Linked DNA regions of Elephas maximus indicus. The main gene of each other region encodes a partner of the protein of the gene in region 2 in a complex. Links are inferred from orthologs where the notes say so. Each region holds a gene or a part of one and is shown on either strand. Other genes may lie near its edges.

The links. The genes of interacting proteins can lie anywhere in the genome.
Region 1: IMMT (region 2) and CHCHD3 share a complex: the UniProt entries of both Homo sapiens proteins name them as parts of the mitochondrial contact site and cristae organizing system (MICOS) complex. The link is inferred for Elephas maximus indicus from reciprocal best matches to the Homo sapiens genes IMMT and CHCHD3.
Region 3: IMMT (region 2) and APOO share a complex: the UniProt entries of both Homo sapiens proteins name them as parts of the mitochondrial contact site and cristae organizing system (MICOS) complex. The link is inferred for Elephas maximus indicus from reciprocal best matches to the Homo sapiens genes IMMT and APOO.

What each region holds. Positions count from the first base shown.
Region 1 is NC_064826.1:16,742,171-16,749,704, forward strand, and holds the start of CHCHD3 (MICOS complex subunit MIC19), read left to right. Parts: upstream 1-4,525; 5' UTR 4,526-4,689; coding exon 4,690-4,770; intron 4,771-7,534. UniProt on the Homo sapiens protein: Component of the MICOS complex, a large protein complex of the mitochondrial inner membrane that plays crucial roles in the maintenance of crista junctions, inner membrane architecture, and formation of contact sites to the outer membrane.
Region 2 is NC_064835.1:48,315,552-48,323,144, reverse strand, and holds the start of IMMT (MICOS complex subunit MIC60), read right to left. Parts: upstream 3,008-7,593; 5' UTR 2,889-3,007; coding exon 2,844-2,888; intron 1-2,843. UniProt on the Homo sapiens protein: Component of the MICOS complex, a large protein complex of the mitochondrial inner membrane that plays crucial roles in the maintenance of crista junctions, inner membrane architecture, and formation of contact sites to the outer membrane.
Region 3 is NC_064846.1:155,243,856-155,251,077, reverse strand, and holds the start of APOO (MICOS complex subunit MIC26), read right to left. Parts: upstream 3,010-7,222; 5' UTR 2,799-3,009; coding exon 2,790-2,798; intron 1-2,789. Other genes in the region: CXHXorf58 (uncharacterized protein CXorf58 homolog), read left to right, coding at 5,797-7,222. UniProt on the Homo sapiens protein: Component of the MICOS complex, a large protein complex of the mitochondrial inner membrane that plays crucial roles in the maintenance of crista junctions, inner membrane architecture, and formation of contact sites to the outer membrane.

The sequences.
Region 1 (7,534 bases), on a different chromosome or scaffold from region 2:
ATGTGTCTGTCAGTTTGTTGTACTGTGGGGTCCTGTGTGTTGCTGTGATGCTGGAAGCTATGCCACTGGTATTCAAATACCAGCAGGGTCACCAGTGGTGGACAGGCTTCAGCTGAACTTCCAGACTAAGACAGACTAGGAAGAAGGACCCGGCAGTCCACTTCTGAAAAGAATTAGCCAGTGAAAACCTTATGTGTTTTCAATTGCCTTGTATGCATGCGAAAGCTGGATAGTGAATAAGGAAGACCGAGAAGAACTGATGCTTTTGAATTGTGGTGTTGGTGAAGAGTATTGAATATACCATGGACTGCCAAAAGAAAGAAGAAATCTGTCTTGGAAGAAGTACAACCAGAATGTCCCTTAGAAGCAAGGATGGGCGAGACTATGTCTCACATACTTTGGACATGTTGTCAGGAGGGATCAGTCTCTGGAGAAGGACATCATGCTTGGTAAAGTACAGGATCAGCAAAAAAGAGGAAGACCCTGGATGAGATGGATTGACATAGTTGCTGTAACAATGGGTTCAAGCATAGCAACAAATGCGAGGATGGCACATGACTGAGCAGTGTTTCATTCTGTTGTGCATAGGGTCAATATGAGTCGGAACTGACTTGGCCCCTAACAACAACAACAACATATAGTGCTAAGTGATCTTTGTCAAGCAGAACGGTCGTCGCAGCCCACCCTATGACATGGCACAACATATACAACGTGAGCACTCTTGGAAAAGATAAGCAGGAGCCAAAGATAGATGGTGTTAGGAATTGAATTGTGTCCCCCCATCCCCCGCAAAAAAAAAAAAAAAAGAATATGTTGAAGTCTTAACCCTTGTATGAGTGAAACTGACCTTGCTTGGAAATAAGGTCTTTGAAGATGTTACCAGTTGGCATGTGCTCATAAATACTTTGGGTCCTGATTCAGTCTGAGTGACGGCCATATAAAAGAAGAGACACACCACTTGGCTGTCCCTGATACACTGGGGGAGAGTGTAGGACGAGTAGATGAGAAGAAGGAGTACAAACAGAAAGAACGTGACATGGGATGATAAGCCAGCACTGGGGAGAGAGACCAGGAAAGGCAACCATGTGCCAGCGGAGGCAGAGATTGTAGAAGGCAGAGCTGTAAGCCAAAGAATGCTAGGGACAACTGGCTGTCACAGAAGCTAGGACAGAGGCATGTAATGGATTCTCCCACAGAAGGAATCAACATGGCGGATATCCTGGTTTCAGACATCTAGCCTCCAGACTGGCAAGACTATATATTCCGTTCTTATAAGCCACCCACTTTGTGGTACTTTGTTACAGCAGCCCTAGGGCAGTGGTGCAGAAGGAGAGGTTCCTAAGACGTGGGAAAACTTGACCTCATGCTGTTCTTAGATGCACAGGCAGCATAGTGATCAGCTCTACTCCAACAGTGATGGAGTGTGGGAGACCATGTGATTTGTGCCCTCAAGGTGGAGGGTTACTGTTATAGTGTAGCTGTGATTGTCTTGTTTGCTGACTGGTTCATGCTATTTTGAATCTTTGCATCTCCTCAAGTGTGCTGCCCAAAATTCTTCTTCTCAGAAAATGTCACACAAGCACATACCTGTGCACACACACACACAAATTGAGAACCGCTGCTTTGGGGCTGCACTGCTTTTCTCTGATTCTCTGTACAATAATTGGTGTAAAAAGTTTGAAGGCTGATATTCAGTTATGGGTTGTGGAATAAGCCTGCATCCATATTCTCAGAATATCTTTGTATCGATTGTCCACACTACACATGAAGTACTTTTCGGTGATTTTAATTGGTTTGCTATAACTTTTTTTTTTTTTTTTAATAACTATGGCAACTATATGTCCTAGATTTTCAAGGATGACCTGATTTCAAGGACTGGTTCAATTGTCTCTCTAAGTACACAAATAATAGTGAGAACATATGCTCCAATCTTTAGTTCAGAAAATATGATCATTACAACTATATTCTATTTCAGCAAAGGCCAGAGTATGAGTGCTCTATCATCCAGCTGAAATGCTACTCACAAGAGCTGGGAAGAGGGCTATGATGAACACACTGATTAGCTTTACTAGCTGGAGACCAGGACCGCTCTCTTCTCTGACACCTCATCATCCCATGTGTCTTATTTATCTAGAGATGCTATAACAGAAATACCACAAGTGGATGGCTTTAACAAACAGAAATTTATTCTCTCACGGTTTTTTGTTGTTGCTGTTAGGTGCCATTGAATTGGCCCTGACTGATAGCAGCCGTATGTACTACAGAATGAAAGACTGCCGAGTCCCGCAACATGTTCACAATCATTGTTTTGCTTGAGCCCATTGTTGCAGCCACTGTGTCAGTCCATCTCTTTGAGGGTCTTCCTCTTTTTGCTGACCCTCTACTTTACCAAGCATGATGCCCTTCTCCAGGGACTGATTCCTCCTGATAACATGCCCAAAGTACGTGAGACGTAGTCTCGCTATCCTTGCTTCTAAGCAGCATTCTGATTGTACTTCTTCCAAGATAGATTTGTTTGCTCTTTTGGCAGTCCATGATATATCCAATATTCTTCGCCAACACCACAATTCAAAAGAATCAATGCTTCTTTGGTCTTCCTTACTCATCGTCCAGCTTTCTCATGCGTATGAGGCGATGGAAAACACTTAAGGTTTTCACTGGCTAATTCTTTTCAGACTGCTGGATCCTTCTTCCTAGTCTTTTCTTAGTCTGGAAGCTCAGCCGAAGCCTGTCTGCCACTGGTAACCCTGCTGGTATTTGAATGCCAGTGGCATAGCTTCCAGCATCACAGCAACACACTACCCACAGTACAAGAAACTGACAGACAGGTGGAGAAATATTATCATAGTAGGCATTTTTCCAGGAGTAAGGTGTATCTTTTTTAAAATTTTTATTCAGAAGGCTTCTTTGTGATGATGTTAGTTGAAATGGAGTAGGAATTCTAAATATTTTTAGGTTTCCCGACAGGATAACTGACTTGCTTCTGTTCTCTAAACAGTGAAAGCATCACACCACCATCTTCTGAGGCTTAACCTTCATTATCTTTAGTATATTTGGTTGAAAGAGCTCATTTAAATTCTAAGAAGATAAATATCTCCAAGGTAACTAGCAGTTCCTTCATCCCTCTCTACTCTCTCCAAGAAATGCTTTCTTTGTAAGTAGTTACTGCATCCCGTCGGTGCTACGCATTGGGGTAATAAGTGAGGGTTTGTTTGTGGAGAGGGAGATTCCAAAGGAATGAAAGACATAATTCCCGGGGCTTTTGGTTCCCTGTAGAAGTAAAGTTTAAAGGTACTATACAATTTGAGAGTAAGTACAAAGTAACATGTAGTCTCAAACTGCAATGTAACATCGTACGATTTGGATACATATATGAAGAGACAAACAAAATGATGAGGTGTAATCAATTCAACACTCTGCTACTGACCAGAGATACCCATGGCTGTCGAGTCCATTCAACTCATAGCAACCCTATAACGCAGAGAAGAACTCCCCTATAGGGTTTCCAACGCTGTAATATTTACAGAAGCAGACTGCCACATGCTTCTCCTGTGAAGCCGCTGGTGTGTTAGGACCACCTGCCTTTCACTCAGCAGCCTAGTGCTTAACCACTGGACCACCAGGGCTCCGGCCTGGGGTACAGAGATAAAAAAGAGGTACTTTCTGCTGTAAAGATTCTTATAGTAATAGATAAGCATACAATTGAAGCTCAAAAACGTTACCGCATTGCTGTGGGTGCCTTCGGCATAAGAGGACTGCCACATCGTGTGTGACCCACTGACTTCCAAGTGAAGGAGACACAAATGTGGGAAATAAATGCTCGGGGTGCTTGGTGCAAACAACTTATTTTTCTGTTTTCTCATACGCAGATTTGAAAGCCATAATGTTTTAATTTCTTTTATTTATAATAAGATGTAAAAGAAGTACATAGTTCATGCGATAAGCCCATAGGCCAAATACAGTTCAAAAAAATTTTTTTTCATAACTAAGACTAAAATAAAGAACTGCTAAGTTTTGCCTCAGGGAGTTTTTAAAATAGGAATCTAGGCAGGGCTCCATTAGGAGAGTGCATCTCCCACATTAAACCGTGAGTTCCTTTGGGACAGAGTTGTGTCTTTAACTCACAAGCCTAAGTTTCTAGAATAATGTCTGGCATACAGCACGCCTTCAAAGCATGTTCGTTAAAAAAAAATAGAAATTTTTTTTTTTTTTTTTTAGGGTAGGAAAACTTCATTGAAAGCTGCCAGTTACAAGCCTTTCCTGCCGTCAAGACTACAACTCCCAGAATGCCATGTTCCCTTTGCGCTCTTGGGACGAAGCTGAGGACGCTCCACCACTCACCTCACTAGACCGAAACTACAATTCCCACTATACTCAGGGGTTCCGGAAGCCTTGTTAAACACTACCTGTTGCCATAGCATCCGGGTCCGGACCGACCAACCCGGATGCCCGCGCCTTGTGGAGACGGGCCTTTCTCAGTTCTGACCAACCGGAGGCAGGTTTGCTGTGGCACGTGACCGGAGGGGGCGGGGACTCAGGACCGGCGCCTTCTCCTTGCTCTTTGGGGTCGTGGCCTTGCTCCTGCTGTGCACGGGAAGTGTGCGGGCACCTCCACGCGCGTATGTGAGCGTGGTGCCTGCAGTGCTTGTGAGTCCTCGCTAGGTCGCTGCGCGAGCAGACGCGGGAGCCATGGGCGGGACGGCTAGCACCCGCCGGGTCACCTTCGAGGCGGACGAGAATGAGAACATCACGGTGGTGAAGGGCATCCGGGTGAGTGAGCGGGGCGGGCAGAGCGCAAGCACTCGGACTCAGACCCCGAAGCCTGTGCTCTCGGGACCCGCAGCCCTTGTCCAGCGTCCCAGCCTTCAGTGTTGCCCGGGGAGAAGGCCGGAGTTTCACAACTTGGGACCTCCACTGGGAAAGTAGTTTCTGCTTGTGTACAAGTGCTAGGCACTGTGCTGGGGCGGGTGGGCTGCCAGGTTGAATGGGACCCTCCAGGGGCGCGCAGCCTCGTCTTGACTGTACTTCTCACTAGTTGCGGGACTTTATTTGCAACCTCTGACTGTACTTATTTGTGAAACGGGTCTTTTCTTATGCCTCCTGGTTTCAGGACCCAAACTCTGCTTTTCTGTTGCCACATCACCCCTCTCAGGGCAAATTGGCATTTTAAGGAGCCTCTTTATTTGTGCTTTGTCATCTAGTGTTCTCCCTCTGATACAACCCCCTCCCTCCAACATACACCCCCACACCCCCACACTTTTCTGGCTGTCCTCTGGTGACTTCTGCCTTCTTGACTTTCACTTGATATCTGTCTTTCCCAGGCGCCTTCTCTGTGACCTGCCCTGCTTGAGTCTTGAATTAGGCCCGGTGCTTCAGGACTAATGCCTGCCAGCCTGATTCATTGGCTAGAGGTTGAGATTTGCAGTTTTTCAGACCACTAGAAGTCATATGGAAACCCTGGTGGGTAGTGAGAAGAGCTACAGCTGCTAACCAAAAGGTTGGCATTTCAAATCCACCAGGCACTCCTTGGAAACCCTATGGGGCAGTTCTACTCTGTCCTGTAGAGTCACTATGAGTTGGAATCGGTTCAGTGGCAACGGGTTTGGTTTTTTTTTTTTTTTTTTTGGTAGACGTCGTATTCCCAGTTCTAGATCAAGATATTGTAGGGAAGTTTTTCTTAATTTTTATGCCTTCTGCACGTGCTTGATACATAAACTGAAAACTTGATTTTTCTCCAGGGTGTCTGTCAGTATGCCAGCACTAACTTGATAAACACTCTTCGCTGCACCTGACTTTGGAGCCTCACATTTTTGGAAGTATGATGCCTGAACCTAGTAAATAAAGCAGTCTTGACTTCAGGAAGTTTTATAATATTTTATATGCTTCTTCATCTGTTATTGCACAGCCAGTATAAGTAAATTAAATGTGTAAATTGTTTTTAGCATTTGTTACTAGGAAATAAAGCCTCATAAATATTTAAAGTGTTTAAAAACTTTCTACTCTGAAACTGTTACCTGGAAAACATTTATTAAAGTTTTCTTTTTAGAAACTCAAGACTGTTGAACTCTATTTTTGGCCTGTGGCCAGCCTGCCTTATTAACGGTAGTACCACATTTTGTAATAAAATAATCCGAGGCTGCATTCTTTGCGTTATTGTGGTTTAGTTGGTACTCTTCGGAGTCAAATAAAAATTACTGTAAACCTTGAGTTTTAAGCAGAGGTTTGTTTAATCTTGCTTTTAGGCCTTTGGTGTTCCACACCAGAGAGTAGAAGTAAGAAAAAATACAGTAAATTTTGGGTAAGAAGACAATGAGTAGACAAATCTGTAAATCTGCATTCTCATGCTTTAGTTCAGATAGTGGTGGTCGCAAACAAAACCGAAAGACAATTTGGCCACAGTGCAGACATTCATATGAAATGTTAGATGCACAAGGCTGAATAGGATAAATATGACAGTAGGGCTAGGTGATAGATTAAAATGGAAAGATTGTTTAAAAAACCTTTTTTTTTTTTTAAATAAACTGTGTCCCTTGGACACTAAAATTGACAGAAGCATTCCTGCATTCTTTATTGTTTTCATTCTCATACATTATATCTTATCTGCATTGAAAAAATTCAAGCACATGCCATACTCGTTTTGATCGCCGTGCTTTCCTTCAGAATATACCCTTCACCTGGAATGCCCTTGGACTATGCCCTGTTCCTTCAAATCCTTTTTCAAGGGTGACTTGAAATCTCTCTGAGCCTCAGCTTTCTCATCTGCTAAATGTATGCCTCTGAGGACCTCTCATCTTTTCTTGTTTTGACTATGAGTCTAGTTGTGCTCTAAGTTTCTTGTAGCCATACTCAGCCCATTGCTGTTTTCTCTACAATGGCAAGCTATTGAATTGTTGAGTACTCAGAGTCCATTCTGATATCTTGGAGGTCATGGTAAAAAGAGCATGAATTTGGAGTTAAACAAACTTCAGTTTAATTTTCTAGCCTTTTGGCCATGGACAAATCACTTCTCTGATTCTTTCTTTATCCCTAGGGGGAATACCATCACTTATGTTAATTAATTGAGGTAAGAAGATGATAGGATTCCTTCAGTATCTAAAGTTCAAAGACTCTTTGGAAGTGTTGTGTAGTGTTGGGGAGGCAGCATGTGCTTTGGAGCCAGGCAGACCTGGTTTGGATCCTAACTCTGCTTCTCAGTAGCTGTGTGGCCCTGGACAAATCACTTTTGTTTTAAATTTTATTGTGCTTTAAGTGAAAGTTTACAAATCAAGTCAGTCTCTCACACAAAAACCCATATACACCTTGCTACACACTCCCAATTACTCTCCCCCTAATGAGACAGCCCGCTCTCTCCCTCCACTCTCTCTTTTCATGTCCGTTTCGCCAGCTTCTAACCCCCTCCATCCTCTCATCTCCCCTCCAGGCAGGAGATGCCAACATAGTCTCAAGTGGACAAATCACTTTTGATTGTGTTTCGTTGTTCAGTGTATCTGGAGAATGCAACCTGCTTGTGAGATTTGTGGGAGCCCTGGTGGCA
Region 2 (7,593 bases):
CAGTGAGGTAGAACAGAAAATGAAATATGCAAGGAACTAAATTAGGAAGAGCCCTGTGGGTGTGACAGGATGTCACCAAAGGGTATGACATGATCTGCGTGCTTTTAAAAAAGGCTTTAATAACCACTATATAAAGAACTGGAGCCCTGGTGGCACAGTGGTTAAGAGCTCAACTGCTAACCAAAAGGTTGGCAGTTTAAATCCACCAGCCGCTCCTTGGGAACTCTATGAGGCAGTTCTACTCTGTCCTGTATGGTCACTATAAGTTGGAATCGACTCAATGGCAATGGGTTTAGTTTTGGAATACATAAAGAACTGACTCTAGAAGGATGACAGGAAAAGCAGGGAGATATTTAAGAAAGGGTTTGATGGGAAGGATCTTGACAACTGGAATATTTTGGACAAAATTGACAAAATCAAACAAGAATTCAGAAATGTGAATACAAAGCTCAAAAAAGAAGGCTGAAGAGTCATGTGCTTAGGGATTGAAGTTCTGAGTATTGATGTAACTCTAGGTAAAAGAGTACAGAAAAGCAACGTGGTTACGTTTAGAGGGACAAGAAGCATCAGCCTCAATAAAGGAAACAGGAGAGAAACAAAAGGTTAAGATGGAAGCCAAAATATTGTGTGAGTGAAGCTAAAACAGCAAAGAGTTTCACAAAGCAAAACATGAAATGTTATATACAATGACTAAGGAGACGGTGAGAATAAACCAATAAATTTTACAAGACGCTATCTCAGGAAGATTAGTCGTTTTGGTTTAGAGTTACAAAAGGGTTCATAGTTTAGTACGAAAAAGTAGTTCCTAAATGGTATCCCAGTAAGTATCAAAGTATTTTGATAAAGAAATGGAAAATGTAATTTTGGAGTTTAGGGGGGGACACAAAGGAGATAATCAGTGAGAATTCTGATGTAACCTGAAGGCAGAATAAGGAAGAGCATGTCACTAAAAAACAAAACAAAACAAAAAAAAACAAGGGCTCTGTTGCCATATAGTCAATTCTGCTCCTGGCGATCCCATGTGTTGGGAGTAGAACTGTTCCACAGGGTTTTCCTGGCTGTGATTTTTATAGATGCGGATCACCAGACCTGTCCTCTGCAGAGCTGCTGCGGGGGTTCATACTGGCTCCGAAGACAAACTTCAACAGTTCTGTCCTGAAAGGCAGCTCTGTTTCCTCCACTCTTTCTAGCCCCACTTGGGTCCTGTGGTAGGCAGAATTCCATGATGGCCTCCACAATCTCCATTCCCCTGCTGTTACCTTCATGACTAGGGTTATGGGGCAAGAGAGATTTAGCTGATGTAATTCAGGTTACTAACCAGTTGACTTTGAATTAACCAAAACGGAGCTTAACCAGGTGGGCCTTGACACAAGCTCTTTAAATTTGGGTCTAGAGGTCAGAGACTGGAAAGTTAAGACAGATTTCAAAGTCAGAAAGACAAGCGCCTGTTGGCCTAGAAGAAAGGAAACATCCACGTTATGTACCTCCCGTGGGGGCCTCATGGCAAGGAACTCCAGGCAGTCTCTAAGACCCGAGCACAGTGGCGACAGTTAGCAAGAAAAAAGGAACTTCAGTTCTACAGCTGCAAGGAACTGAATTCAGCCAACGAAGCACATGAGCCTGGAAGAGGACTCTGAGCTCCAAATGAGAACCAAGCACAGTCACCACTTTGACTGCAGCCTGTGTGACCCTGAGCAGAGAACCAGCTCATTCATGCCAACTTTTAACCTATAGTAACAGTAAGATAATACTTAAGAGTTGTTTTAAGTTGCCAATTTGTTTTAGTTTTTAATGCAATAATAGAAACTAACAGTCCCTGCTTTCCTACAGATCAGGCTGCTGCTTCTCATTCATCCCCCCAGCAACGAATGGATAGAGAAGCAAACTTGAAAATAAGAAGTTTTATTTTTATGATCTTATTCACTATGCCTGGAGAATTTGTTCAATTAATGCCAGAGTCACAAGTACCTGTTTCGCAATGTAACACTTAACCAAAATATAAATTTTCTGAAACTGTGAGCAATGGAAATAGGCTTACCTTTTTTTTATTTTTAATTTGGAATGCTACTTTGATAATTACGCAGAACTAAAAGAGGTTTAGGTGTCCAGGCTCCTCTAATGTCAGCCAAAGTCGTACCAGCACCTGGGGACACAGATCCCCAGGCTAACCTCAGAAATGGGCACAAGGTCATGACTCCTGTTCTCTCTCAAGCACCAGAAGTTTGAGCTTCATAAACTAGAATCTTTCAGTTTTGTCTACAGTAACAATAGCTCTGATGTGTTCTCTGCTACGGAAAAAAAAGCAAAGCTGTCCCTCCAGATCATTACAACCTTGACACCACACCCCCAAACCACATACTCTTTATCCCAGCTGTCCAGGCACCTCCTTGTTACAGACAACAAGCCTAGGATACGAACGTCCTGCCGGGAGCTCTAGTTCTCCCCACTTCGACCTTCAACCACTGGCTGCGCGAACCCACCGCTTTCACGTGCCCAACCGGCGACCCGGGCGCCAGCAGCCAGGATTGGTCCCTGACTGGGGCAGATCGGTGCTGATTGGATAACACGTCCCCGAAGCCGCGCCCCCCTCCCTGCGCCCGCCTCCCCGCCACCTTCCCTCCACACCTCACCCCGCTTCACCAATAACCCTCAGTCATCCCAGCCCGACGAACTACCCCACTTAACTGCCTCACGGGTCCGCCCGGAACTCTCATAATGAGGGCGACTCTGACATATGCCTTTGTCCCGGGGCCTACGCAAGGCCTAAGCCGCCCCCGTTTTCTGCCGTCTGCCCAAGTCAGCTTCCTCACGCGCTCTCGCGGGGCACCCACTCCCGCGCTCACCTGGGCGGCAGCGGTCACGCCCGATAACTGACAGGCCCGCAGCATCTCGGCGGCCGGGCGGACGGCAATAAGGGCGTAGGCGGGAGCTGCCGCGGCGGCGCGAGTAAGGGAGGGAGGGCGTGCGTGCGTGCGTGCGGGCGGGCGTGCGTGTTTGCGTCCGGGTCGCTCCTCCGCGCCGGGATCACAGGAAGAGCAGCGAACTCCACTGCGCACGCGCAGCCTTTTCCCCGCCCTTCCCACTCCCTCCCACCTCCCACGCCCCCGCCCAGGATGCTCTGGGAGAGCGCGCCCGCTGGGATAGTAGCCGGCTGCGGTACTCAGGCAGTAGAGGGCCTTGCGAGTCGGAAACGATTGCTGAGAAGGCGGTGGAAGGGGCGACTTCTTCCGGGTCGTGCTCGGGCTCCTGGTGGGAGAAGGAACACCGGAGGCAGCGTTGTGCTGAATGTGTCGTTCACGTACGTGACCGCTGGCGGAGCAGGCGTAACCCCCCAAAACCACACCCATTGCCCTCGAGTCAATTGCGACTCGTCGTGACCCTGTAGGACAGAGTAGAACTCCCCCATAGAGTTTCCAAGGAGCGCCTCGTGGATTCAAACTGCCGACCTTTTGGTTAGCAGCCATAGGTCTTAACCACTAGATAGGAACCCAGATTCTTTGGGCTGCACGGCCGCGGCTTCTACTCCTTCAGACTAAACCACGGTTTTCTTCATGAAGTTTTTATTTTAGATAATTTTGGCTGCAGCCTGTGGGCTGAGTTAGAAGTCTGCAGAAACTTGTACAGAGTCCCACAGAGTCTGTAATCGTATACATGGTAAATAGCCACCGTTATGCAAATACTGTTAGTGATCTTTATTACCATGAGAATATGCTAGAAACTGAATAACTTGTATATCTATTGAATAGCTTGTATATCTTCTATTGTGTTTGCAAAGCGTTTTCAATGTCTAACGAGATCATTTATCACAGTATAGGGTTCTCCCTAGGAATAGATGGCACTACTACTCCCACTTGTAAAATGGAGAAATGGATTTGAAAATTACCTAAAATAATTATGTCTGTAAATTCTCCATGCTTTTAAGGTCGATTAGTAATTACATTAGACTTGCTTTATTTCATATCTCTGTCACCTAAGGGCCTCCAAGCAGTCTCTCTTTTCCTTAGCAACTTCAGCAATTGAATTGCGGTCTTCCCATCCCCATCCTGCCTACCACTGTTAAGCTAGGCGATGCCAGCATGACGCGTTTTCTAACACCTTGGCCTTGAACTCAGTGCCAATGAGCAGTTTCATTCTACTCCAGCCCTGTATGACACAGCAACACCTCAGGCTGGATATCATTAGCAGCCTCTCTGGCTTCACTATCTCAAACCCCGAAATTAATTTCTGTGCGTAGTTTCCTAATCTTTCACCTAAGTCCTAAATCTTCACCCTTGACATGCTTCTTACTAGATCTTAAGATGTATTGTTATCAGGACTCTCCTAAAGTAACTCAGAGGTTCAAATCACATCACTCCTTAGTTCAGAAACTTTCAGTGAGCCTTTATGCAATGCCTGTCGTCGTCATCTAGTGCTGCTGTAACAGAAATACCACAAGTGGATGGCTTTAACAAAGAGAAATTTATTTTCTCACAGTTTGGGAAGCAAGAAGTCCGAATTCAGGGTGCCAGCTCCAGGGGAAGGCTTTTTCTCGCTGTCAGCTCTGGGGAAGGTCCCTATCATCAGCCTTCCCCAGTCGAGGAGCCTCTTACCGCAGGGACCCCAGGTCCAAAGGACATGCTGCTCTCCTGGCTCTTGTTTCTTGGTGTTATGACGTCCCCATGTCTCTCTGCTTTCTTCTCTCTTTTCTATCTCAAAAGAGATTGATTTAAGATACAACCTAATCTTGTAGCTTGAGTCTTGCCTCATTAACATAACTGCCACTAATCCCACATCATTAACATCACAGAGATAGGATTTACAACACATAGGAAAATCACATCATATGACAAAATGATGGACAATAACACAATACTGGGAATCATAGTCTAGCCAAGTTGACACATATTTTGGGGGGACACAGTTCAGTCCAAAACAGTCTCAATATACTTTTCCAGCATATGTAGATGTCTTTGGACTCACAGTAGCTGCTATAGTTGGGAGATTAAGGTGGCAGCAATTGTATTCAAAACCTGTCACCCACTTACACACCCTATATCCCAGATAAACTGAAGTCCAACCATCTTAGTGGCTCTAAGGGAGCTAGGGACCCCCTGGGAAGCCTGTGGCCTTTTCATGGAGATCCACAAAATCAAAACTGTTTTCACAATAATAAATTATTTGCCTTTTTAATTCTCATTAACTCATTAGTGTACAGTAAAGTTTTTCCAGAGACCATCCATCTATCACTGGAAGTTTGTGTGTTGCTATGATGCTGGACAAGTTTCAGCAGAGCTTCCAGACTAAGATGGACTAGGAAGAAAGGCCTGGGAATCTACTGCTGAAAATCAGCCAGTAAAAACTGTGGATCACTATGGAACGTTATCCAGTCCGTAATCGACCATGGGAATGGCACAGGACCCAGCAGCATTTCCTTCTGTTATCCATTGGATCACCATGAGTCAGGGCCAACTCGATGGCAACTAACAACAACATGATATGATACTGTAACACATTGAATGTAGAATCAAATTTTATAATCTAGTATTCTATTAAGTTAGACGTTAAAGAGATTTGCAAAAGGTAAAATAATGCCACTTGTCTTATGCTGGGCTCTCTAGAGAAGCAAAACCAGTGAAGCATATATATAGGCCCTGGTGGTACAGTGATTAAGAGTTAACAGCTGCAAACCAAAAGGTAGGCAGTTCAAATTCACCAGTCATTCCTATAAACCCTGTGGCTTAGTTCTACTTTCCTGTAGAGTTGCTGTAAGTCAGAATTGACTCGATGGCAAGGGGTTTATTTATTTATTTTGGTTTTATATATATACATAGAGAGAGAGAGAGATTTATATCAGAAATGGCTCACACGGTTGTTGAGGCTGGAAAGTCTCAAGTCTGTGGGTCAGGCTGGAGGTTTCCACTGACATAGCTGCAGGGGCTGACAATCCGAAGATCGGCAGGTAAGCTGCTAGCTCAAGTCCCAAGAACCGGAGGTCAGATGATGACAAGCCAGATGCAGGATCCAGAGCGAGCAAGAGCTTTGCCGGAGAAGTCCACATATATTGGCTGCAGGCCACACCCCCAAGGAAACACCCTTTCAAGTGATTGGCTGCTTATAGCAGATCTCATCATGGAGGTGATTACATCATTACATAGCTACCAAACTACATCCTAACTGCCAAACCACTGAGATTCATGGCCCAGCCAAGTTGACACACAGCCTTAACCCTCACACCACTCTTCCCATTAATTATTATTTTGAAATAGTTATTTTTCATAAAAGCATGTTAACATGTAATGAGTTCATAATTGTTATTTTAAAATGAGTACACACGCTAGGGAGAATAATGGCCCCCCAAAGACGTCCCAGCAACCATCCATCAGTTTGTTGTACTGAGGTGGTTTGCATGCTGTTTTGATGCTGGAAGCTATGCCACTGATATTTCAAACACTAGCAGGGTCACCCAAGGTGGACAGATTTCAGTGGAGCTGCCAGGCTAAGACTAGGAAGAAAGGCCTGGTGATCTACTTCCGCAAATTCACCAAAGAAAACTTTATGGATCGCAACACAGTATTGTCTAATACACTGCTGGAAGATGAGCCCAAGCATACAATCATGAAGGTGGGGAAGGACCGGGCAATGTTTCATTCTGTCATACATGAGGTTGCCATGGGTCAGAGTTGACTCAATGGGTACTAACAACAACAAAGATCCCCATGCCCTAGCCCCTGAAACCTGTGAACGTGTTACCTTGTATGACAAAAGGGACTTTGCAGATATGATTAAGTAAGGATCTTGAGGGACTATCCTGAATTATCTCTTGTGCCCAGTGTAATCACAAGGGTCCTTGTGAGAGAAAGAAGTAGGCAGGAGATGTGATGGCGGAAGCAGAAGTCAGAGTGATGTGATTGCCAGCTTTGAAGATGGAAGGAGACCATGAGCCAGGGAGTGCAAGCCGTCTCTGCAAGCTGGAAAAGGCAAGGAAAGAGATCTCCCCTAAAAACAAACAAACAAAAAAACCCATTGCCATCAAGTTGATTCTGACTCACAGCAACCCTAGAACCTCCAGAAGGAACACAGCCCTTCAAACACCGTGATTTTAGCCCAGCGAAAGCCTGTTTGCACTCCTGCCTACGGAACTGTAAGATGATAAATTTGTGGTGATTTGTTATAGCAGCAATAGGAAATTAATAGAATGAGCATTTTCATTGTTTCTCCATTTTAATATCTAATACAGTAAATACCAGTAGATATAATCCATATAATTAAAAGCTCTTTGGAGTCCTCAATAATTTTGAAGAGTGTAAAGGGGTTCTGAGACCAAAAAGTTTGAGAACCTCTGCTCTAAATAAATTCTGTATCGTCGCTCCCTCTCTTCCCACTTGAGGTCTATTCTTAACTCCCTAGAATGACCTCACACTTGTTAAAATCCTCCCCATTCATTAAGACCCATTGTCTTAATCATCTAGTGTTGCTATAACAGAAATACCACAAGCGGTTGGCTTTAACAAAGAGAAATTTATTCTCTCACAGTCCAGTAACCTAGAAGCCGAATTCAGGGCGCCAGCTCCAGGGGAAGGCTTTCTCTGACTGTCGGCTCTGAAGGAAGGTCCT
Region 3 (7,222 bases), on a different chromosome or scaffold from region 2:
CACAGTGTCCCTACAGGACACAGTAGAACTATCCTATGGGGTTTCCAAGGAGTGGCTAGTGGATTTGAACTGCTTATCTTTTGGTTAGCAGCCAAGCTCTTAACCACTCCATTTTGTTCATGATTAAGGTAAAGTGACTCCATCCCAAGGAATTGAGCCTGATTAAGCCAATCAAAGCACTACATTCTGCTACTGGTTCCGGAACAGACACCTGACCTAAATTGGTCCAATCAGACTGAACAGTTACCAGTTGCCATGGGGTTGATTCCCTCTGACCCACGGAGACTCCATGTGTAAGGACGGGCATAATCCAAGCTTAGGGAAGTTTTCTTTTTCTAATGAATAAGAAAGCATGTATGCTATGGTCGGTCATTCTGCCACCGTGAGGGGAACCAATTTTACTGTGGAAAGCCAAGAAAAGAGACTGAGTCCTTGATGACACTGTTGACCCATTATAATGAACCTGGAGTCAACCTTTCCTCTGGACTTTGTGAGATCATTTTATTATTTTAAGTGGTCAGATTTTCCATTATTAGCAGCTCCCTCCCTTGATTTTCTAAACATCACTTTCTTCTGCTCCTACTTCTACTTCTCAAAAGTTGCCACTCCATTTCTGGTCTCCCCTCTTCCTCTGCCTACTCCTTGCATTTTGGTGTTCAAGGTTTGTTGTGATCTTTTCTACTCACACTATATGTTCACTTGGAACAATTACAGTTCACTGCATGTCTCCCTTGACAAAGCAGAACTGAGCCACTCGCACCTCCCCCGATGGAGTACCACTGTTGATGATGTTCTCCAGCTCATCTACCTGAAGAACTCCTACTTGTCTTTCGAAACTAAATTTAAATGTCTCCTCTGTGACACTCTCCCTGAAGACTCCAAGGGTTCCTTGCTTTTTTTGTGCCATGAACATCTCTGGCAGTCTGTTGGGCCCTATAGACCCCTTCTAATGCTTCTAATTGCATAAAATACCAATTATATTGAAATACTTATAAAAATACTCTTAAAACCTAAATGTCTGATATAGTGTATGTGCTTCTTTATTAGCTCTTTAAATACACAGATCTAGCAGTGGGTCTTGCAACTACTGTGATTTTGAAGTAGTGATGAGAATAAATGATATGTTGAGACCTGCAACAACTGTAATGGGCATTGGTACTGTGACTTCTACTGGTGATAGGTACTGCTAGAACTACTGTGGTTTGCTGCTGTAGTAGCTTATAGATTAATGGTCCCCAATGAATCACATCTCCTGGTAACCATGCCCTTTTGTACTCTCCCCACACTGACTCTTAGCTTGGCCATGTGACTTGCTGTGACACCAGCAAATGTGATGCAAGCAAAGGCTTTTTAAGTGTTTGCACACTGGGACTTGTCCTCTTGGAGCCCAGCAACCATGCGAGGAAGCCCAAGCTAGACATATGGAGGGGCGCCAAGTATCCAGACATGTGTGAGGCCACCTTTCAGTCCAGTCACCACTAAATTCAGCCATTGGGGGACACTAGCAGAACTGCCCAACCAACCCACAGCCAGTGCTTCCAGCAAGTTCTGCCTGGTTCAGTCATGGCCAACTAAGCAAAACCTGAATGAACCCCAAGTTTTAAAATGTAGGTGAAACGGAACGATAAGCAGAATGGGAAAAATTACTGGTCATAGCCCTGCTAGAAACTTAATCCCCCTCTTAGAAAACAAGGGCAGCAAGCACATTGCATAACCACCAAATCTCTTGACCACATAATTTGGAAACAGCCATGTGGCTCAAACACGGAGGCCAACTGCACCACTTTGAATGTGTGTGGCTCTCCATAGTCCTGGCAATAATCCAATCTCCTGCATCAGGCTCCTGTAAGGGCTCACTATGTCTATTTCAAGTCTCCCATTCCAGGGCTTCGACCCGTAATTTCTCTCATTCTGCCTCACCCAAGTTTGACTGCACCAGTTCAAAGCCCTACCCACAGCTCATGCAAAATAAGATAACGCTGATAATAAATTAGTACAATTTTTAGGTTTCATTGGTACTTTCTTATGAGTACTACTTGATGGCTCAATTTTGTAGGTTTTTGGTAGCCTTCGATTTGTTTTCCATGACAAAAAAAATCACCTACTTTTTTTAACGTAGCTTTGTTAAAATGCAGGTTTTCGCAACAAAGTTTTCACTGTAAAAGTCAGTTTTTTGCAAACGACACCAGTCCATAAAATGTAAAGGGAATCGACTTGTCTATATTAAGTTCATCGGGGAGCAGAGCAAAACTCCAGCTTTCCTCCTTACACAGCTACTCCCACTTCAGCCTCCCCCACACCCTGTAGCACCTTCTCGGAAGGTGACCCTCCCAACCCCACACACACCTGGTTCTGAAACCGGACCCAGCCTGGCAACCAAAACCAACCTCTGCAGTGCGCGGTGCTGGCCTCGACCTAGCCACGCTTCTAAGCGGGCGCCAGCCAGAGGAAGGGGTTGGATACTTTAACTTTTCAAAAATGTTTTATTCACCACAGCACAACCCAAATGGCCGCCCCCACCCAACCCAGGATTTCGCCAGCCTCGGTCCCAGCGCAGGACGCCCCACGCGCGCCACAGATGCGGCGGCACGCTCGAGCTTCCGCCGGCAATCGCTTGCCCCACGCGGACCGGTGAATGAACCGCGGGCCAGGACACAACCAGCCCGGAGGCGGGAAAAGCCTCTGGGCGAGCAGAGTCTGGTCCCGAAGAGGCCCACAAGAGCGCCGGGGAGAGTTCCGTGCGACCGGGAGGGGGCGGTGACAGCTTTGCCCGGGCTCCGCGCTCTCACCTTGAACATGTCGCTGGCAGCCGCGGCTCCGGCGGGGTCACCCCGGCCTCGGCCCCGCCCACTGCAGAGAGGAGGCTACGGCGGCCCGGTAGGGCCCGGCTTCCGCCGACCGCGAATGGACTGCGGTGCAGGCGACGGCTGTGCCGCTGACTCGATCCGATCCAGCGAAGGCTTAGCTAACCACTCGGGGCTGGAAGCAACGTAGCTGAGCTGCAGCTAGTCACGGCCCACCTGCTAGCGCACACAAGCCCCGCCCCCTCGAGGCTCCGCCCCTGCGCCGGCTGTTGCTAGGCAACGAGAAAGCGCGGCTTTGTGTGGCAGGAACGCGGGGGCGCGCGGAGGGAGGTGCCGGGCGTCGGCCTGCTCGGCCGCAGCGGTTGGGAACCGCGAGGTGTGGACCGGGCAGCCTGTGCTCGGAGGCCGCCGGGCGGGGGCGCTCGGCGGGTCTCTGGAAGCTTCGAAAGCTTCGCAGCCGGAAGCCGCCATCCTCAGAGGACTGGATTTACCTCACAAAGGTTTTCAGGTTTTTACAGTGGGGTTCACATTTCTAAGGTTTTAAGTTTAAACGAATTTGCCACTCCCTTTAGTCGTGAAAGGCATTTTTTTTTTTCTTTTTAAGATGCTTAAGTGTAAGCTCCTCACTAGGAATCATGTGTATCCCTTACTACTAGTAGAGATAAAGGTCATAATTATCTTATTAACAAGAATAGCAAACATAGTGTGCCCAGCTCTGAGCTATAAGCCTTTGACATATGCTTATTTAATCTTTCCAACAACCCAAGTAGGTGGGCACGATTATTATTCCCAATTTATAGCTGAGGAAACAGGCATAGAGAAGAAACTTGCGTAAGGCCACAGGGATGAAAAGTAGGAAGCCAAGATCCAAACAACCCAGTGAGTCTGGCTTTAAAGCTTGTGCTCTAGCTTTTGGGCTAGCCTAAAGAATTGTTATACTGTTTCATAATTGGGGTGTAGTTCACATTTCACTCTGTAGTTCACATTCTAATCCTGTAAAAACTGAGCCCCATCTAGGCGGGCATTCCTTAGATTTGGGCGGTGTGCAGTGACATGTAACTGCCCTGCAGCCAAAGACCACTAGGAATATACCTGTGGTTGAACAAGTTGGGTTTATTTTCTCATAACTGTGACGGAGGACACACACCTTGGGGAACAGTGGAACATCCCAGTAAGAGGGTGTTAGATTTGTTATAGGATTTGGGCTTTGGTTGGGTGATTTGGGGGTGAGTTTAAAGAAGCAGACTTTGCTCTGGATTGGATGCTATCAGGATGTGGGGGTAACACTGAGGCCCGGCCAGGACAGCTTTCAGATGTTAAGGGCTGCTTTTTTCTTTCTCAGGAGAATTGTATATTCCAGGCCATCCTCATCCCTAAGGAGAAATACTGAACAGATGAAGGCTCTGCACTGGTAATGTAATCTTACACAAATATAAGAGTGTAAGGCATAACAATAACTTAGTGCAACAGTTCTTAATTCAGGGGTTATGTGACTTTGGATGGAGAAAAAATTACAACTTTACCCTCACTAACCTCTAACTGAACTTTAGCGTTTCTTTCAGTTATTGTGTAGATGAAAAGGCACAGTAGTATTAGCAGTACCTATCACTTTTGTCATCAATAGAAAACAGATATTTTCATATCACATTACACTCATGGCAGATATCTTGAGATGCCATTTATGCTCATTACTGCTTTGAAAGTACAGTAGTTATTAGATATCCCATTTTATTTAATGCATATGCAGAAGGCACATTAATGTATCATAATTTTGTTTTTCAAAATATTTCGACAATGATTTCAGTATAACTGAAGTCCTTTGTAATCCTATGTATTTTATTTATGCATCAAAAAACAATTCTTAGAGGGTGTCTATCCATAGAGATTCATGGCACCAAATAAAAAGATAAAAAGCCCCTGGTTTAACAGAACGGATTAAGCAGTTACTAAGAATTTGGGACCTGCATCCAAATTGGATTAACGCTTCAAAGGCTGGAAGGTTGGATGTGGAATCAGATAATTTAGTACACACATCAATTTACCAAGGAGAGAACTGAGCCACTGAGAAGTTAAATAACTTGCTCCAAGTCTCACAGCTATTTGGTGATAAAACATTTTCAGACAAGCATGTAAAAATCTACTCTGCTAAAAAAAAAATTTTTTTAGGTACTGCATATTTCATAGTAAGATGCCTCCTACCCTCAATGAGCTTGTTGGAGTGACAGCCAAGAAAACAAATTTTAATGCAATATGAGAAGTACTATAAAAGAAGTATGTACAGAATATAATGGGACCTTGGAGAAAGGAGTAAGTAGTTCCGTAAAAAAAAGAGAAAGGGGAAATTTCAGGGAAGAGGCATCAATTAGCTGGGGTCTTAAAGGATGAATTAGTATTTGCTGGTGGTAGGAAGGTCATTGTCAGTAGAGGAAATGGCATGATCAGAGGTACAGAGATGTAAAACATTGACCGATTTTGGCAAGAAGTTCTTGGTTCTTTCAGAGTGTAGAAAGGAAGGCTGGTGAAAGGTGTTTTAAAATTGAGAGAATGGAGCAAAACTGAAAAGACTTGAACCCATTCTAAGGAGTTTGGGCTTCATCTTGGAGGAAATGAGGTGTCACTGAAACATTTCAAGTTGAGAAGTGATAAGGTTGAATTACTGCTCTAAAAAATTAATTGCAGCTGCAGTGTTGAGGATGACTAGGAGGAGGAAGAGACTGGAGACAGGGAGACCAGTTGCAAAGCTACTGATAAATCCACTTGTCTTTTCCATATAACCAAAAAAAAAAAACCAAACCCACATACTATTTTAGTACACAAAGAATGTGAACTATAAGCAATATTAAGAGATCCATGATTTGTTCCTTTTTAAAGGGTTCTGGAATTAGGACAACAATAATATGGCACTTGAGTCTAGTTCAGACAATGTAATAATATAGATTATGACCTTAAAGGATTAATTTATGTACTTTCAGGTTACTTCATTGTAAGGGAAATGGATTCTTCCTCAGATCCACCAGGTACTAGTGTTCCAAAATCAGATAACCAATGCTCAGAAAAGGGCCAGAAAACAACCGTGGAAATTCTAAGGAAAATGAGTTCTTCTTCGGATCCACCAGGTACTAGTGTTCCAAAATCGGATAACCAAGAGTCAGAAAACGACCAGAAAACTGTGGAAATTCTAAGGAAAATGAGTTGTTCTTCGCATCCACCAGGTACTAGTGTTCCAAAATCAGATAACCAAGAGTCAGAAAACAACCAGAAAACTGTGGAAATTCTAAGGAAAATGAGTTCTTCTTCAGATCCACCAGGTACTAGTGTTCTAAAATCAGAAAACCAACATTCAGAAAGAGGCCAGAAAAAAACTGTGAAACATCTAAGGAAAATGAGTTCTTTCTCAGGTCCACCAGGTGCTAGTGTTCCAAAATCAGATAACCAACACTCAGAAAGAGGCCAGAAAACAACTGTGAAACATCTAAGGAAAATTAGTTCTTCCTCAGGTCCACCAGGTACTAGTGTTCCAAAATCAGATAACCAACACTCGGAAGAAGGACAGAAAAAAACTGTGGAAATGCTAAGGAAAATGAGTTCTTCCTCAGATTCACCAGGTACTGATGTTCCAAAATCAGATAACCGACACTCAGAAAAAGATCAGGAAACAGCTGTGGAAATTGTAAGGAAAATGAGTTCTTCCTCAGATCAGCAAGGTACCAGTGTTCCAAAGTCAGATAACCAACACTCAGAAAAAGAGCAGAAAACAACTGTGGAAATTCTAAGGAAAATGAGTTCTTCTTCAGATCAACCGGGTACTAGTGTTACAAAATCAGATAAGCAATACTCAGAGAGAAGCCAGAAAACAACTGTGAAACATCTAAGGAAAATGAGTTCTTCCTCAGGTCCACCAGGTACTAGTGTTCCAAAATCAGAAAACCAACACTCAGAAAAAGACCAGGAAACAACTGTGAAAAATCTAAGGGAAATGAGTTCTTCAGACCCACCAGGTACTGATGTTCCAAAATCAGATAACCAATACTCAGAAAGAGGCCAGAAAACAACTGTGAAACATCTAAGGAAAATGAGTTCTTCCTCAGGTCCACCAGGTACTAGTGTTCCAAAATCAGATAACCAATACTCAGAAAGAGGCCAGAAAACAACTGTGAAATATCTAAGGAAAATGAGTTCTTCCTCAGGTCCACCAGGTACTAGTGTTCCAAAATCAGAAAACCAACACTCAGAAAAAGACCAGGAAACAACTGTGAAAAATCTAAGGAAAATGAGTTCTTCAGACCCACCAGGTACTGATGTTCCAAAATCAGATAACCAACACTCAGAAAAAGACCAGGAAACAACTGTGGAAATTCTAAGGAAAATAAGTTCCTCAGATTCACCAGGAACTAGTGTTTCAAAATTAGATAACCAAC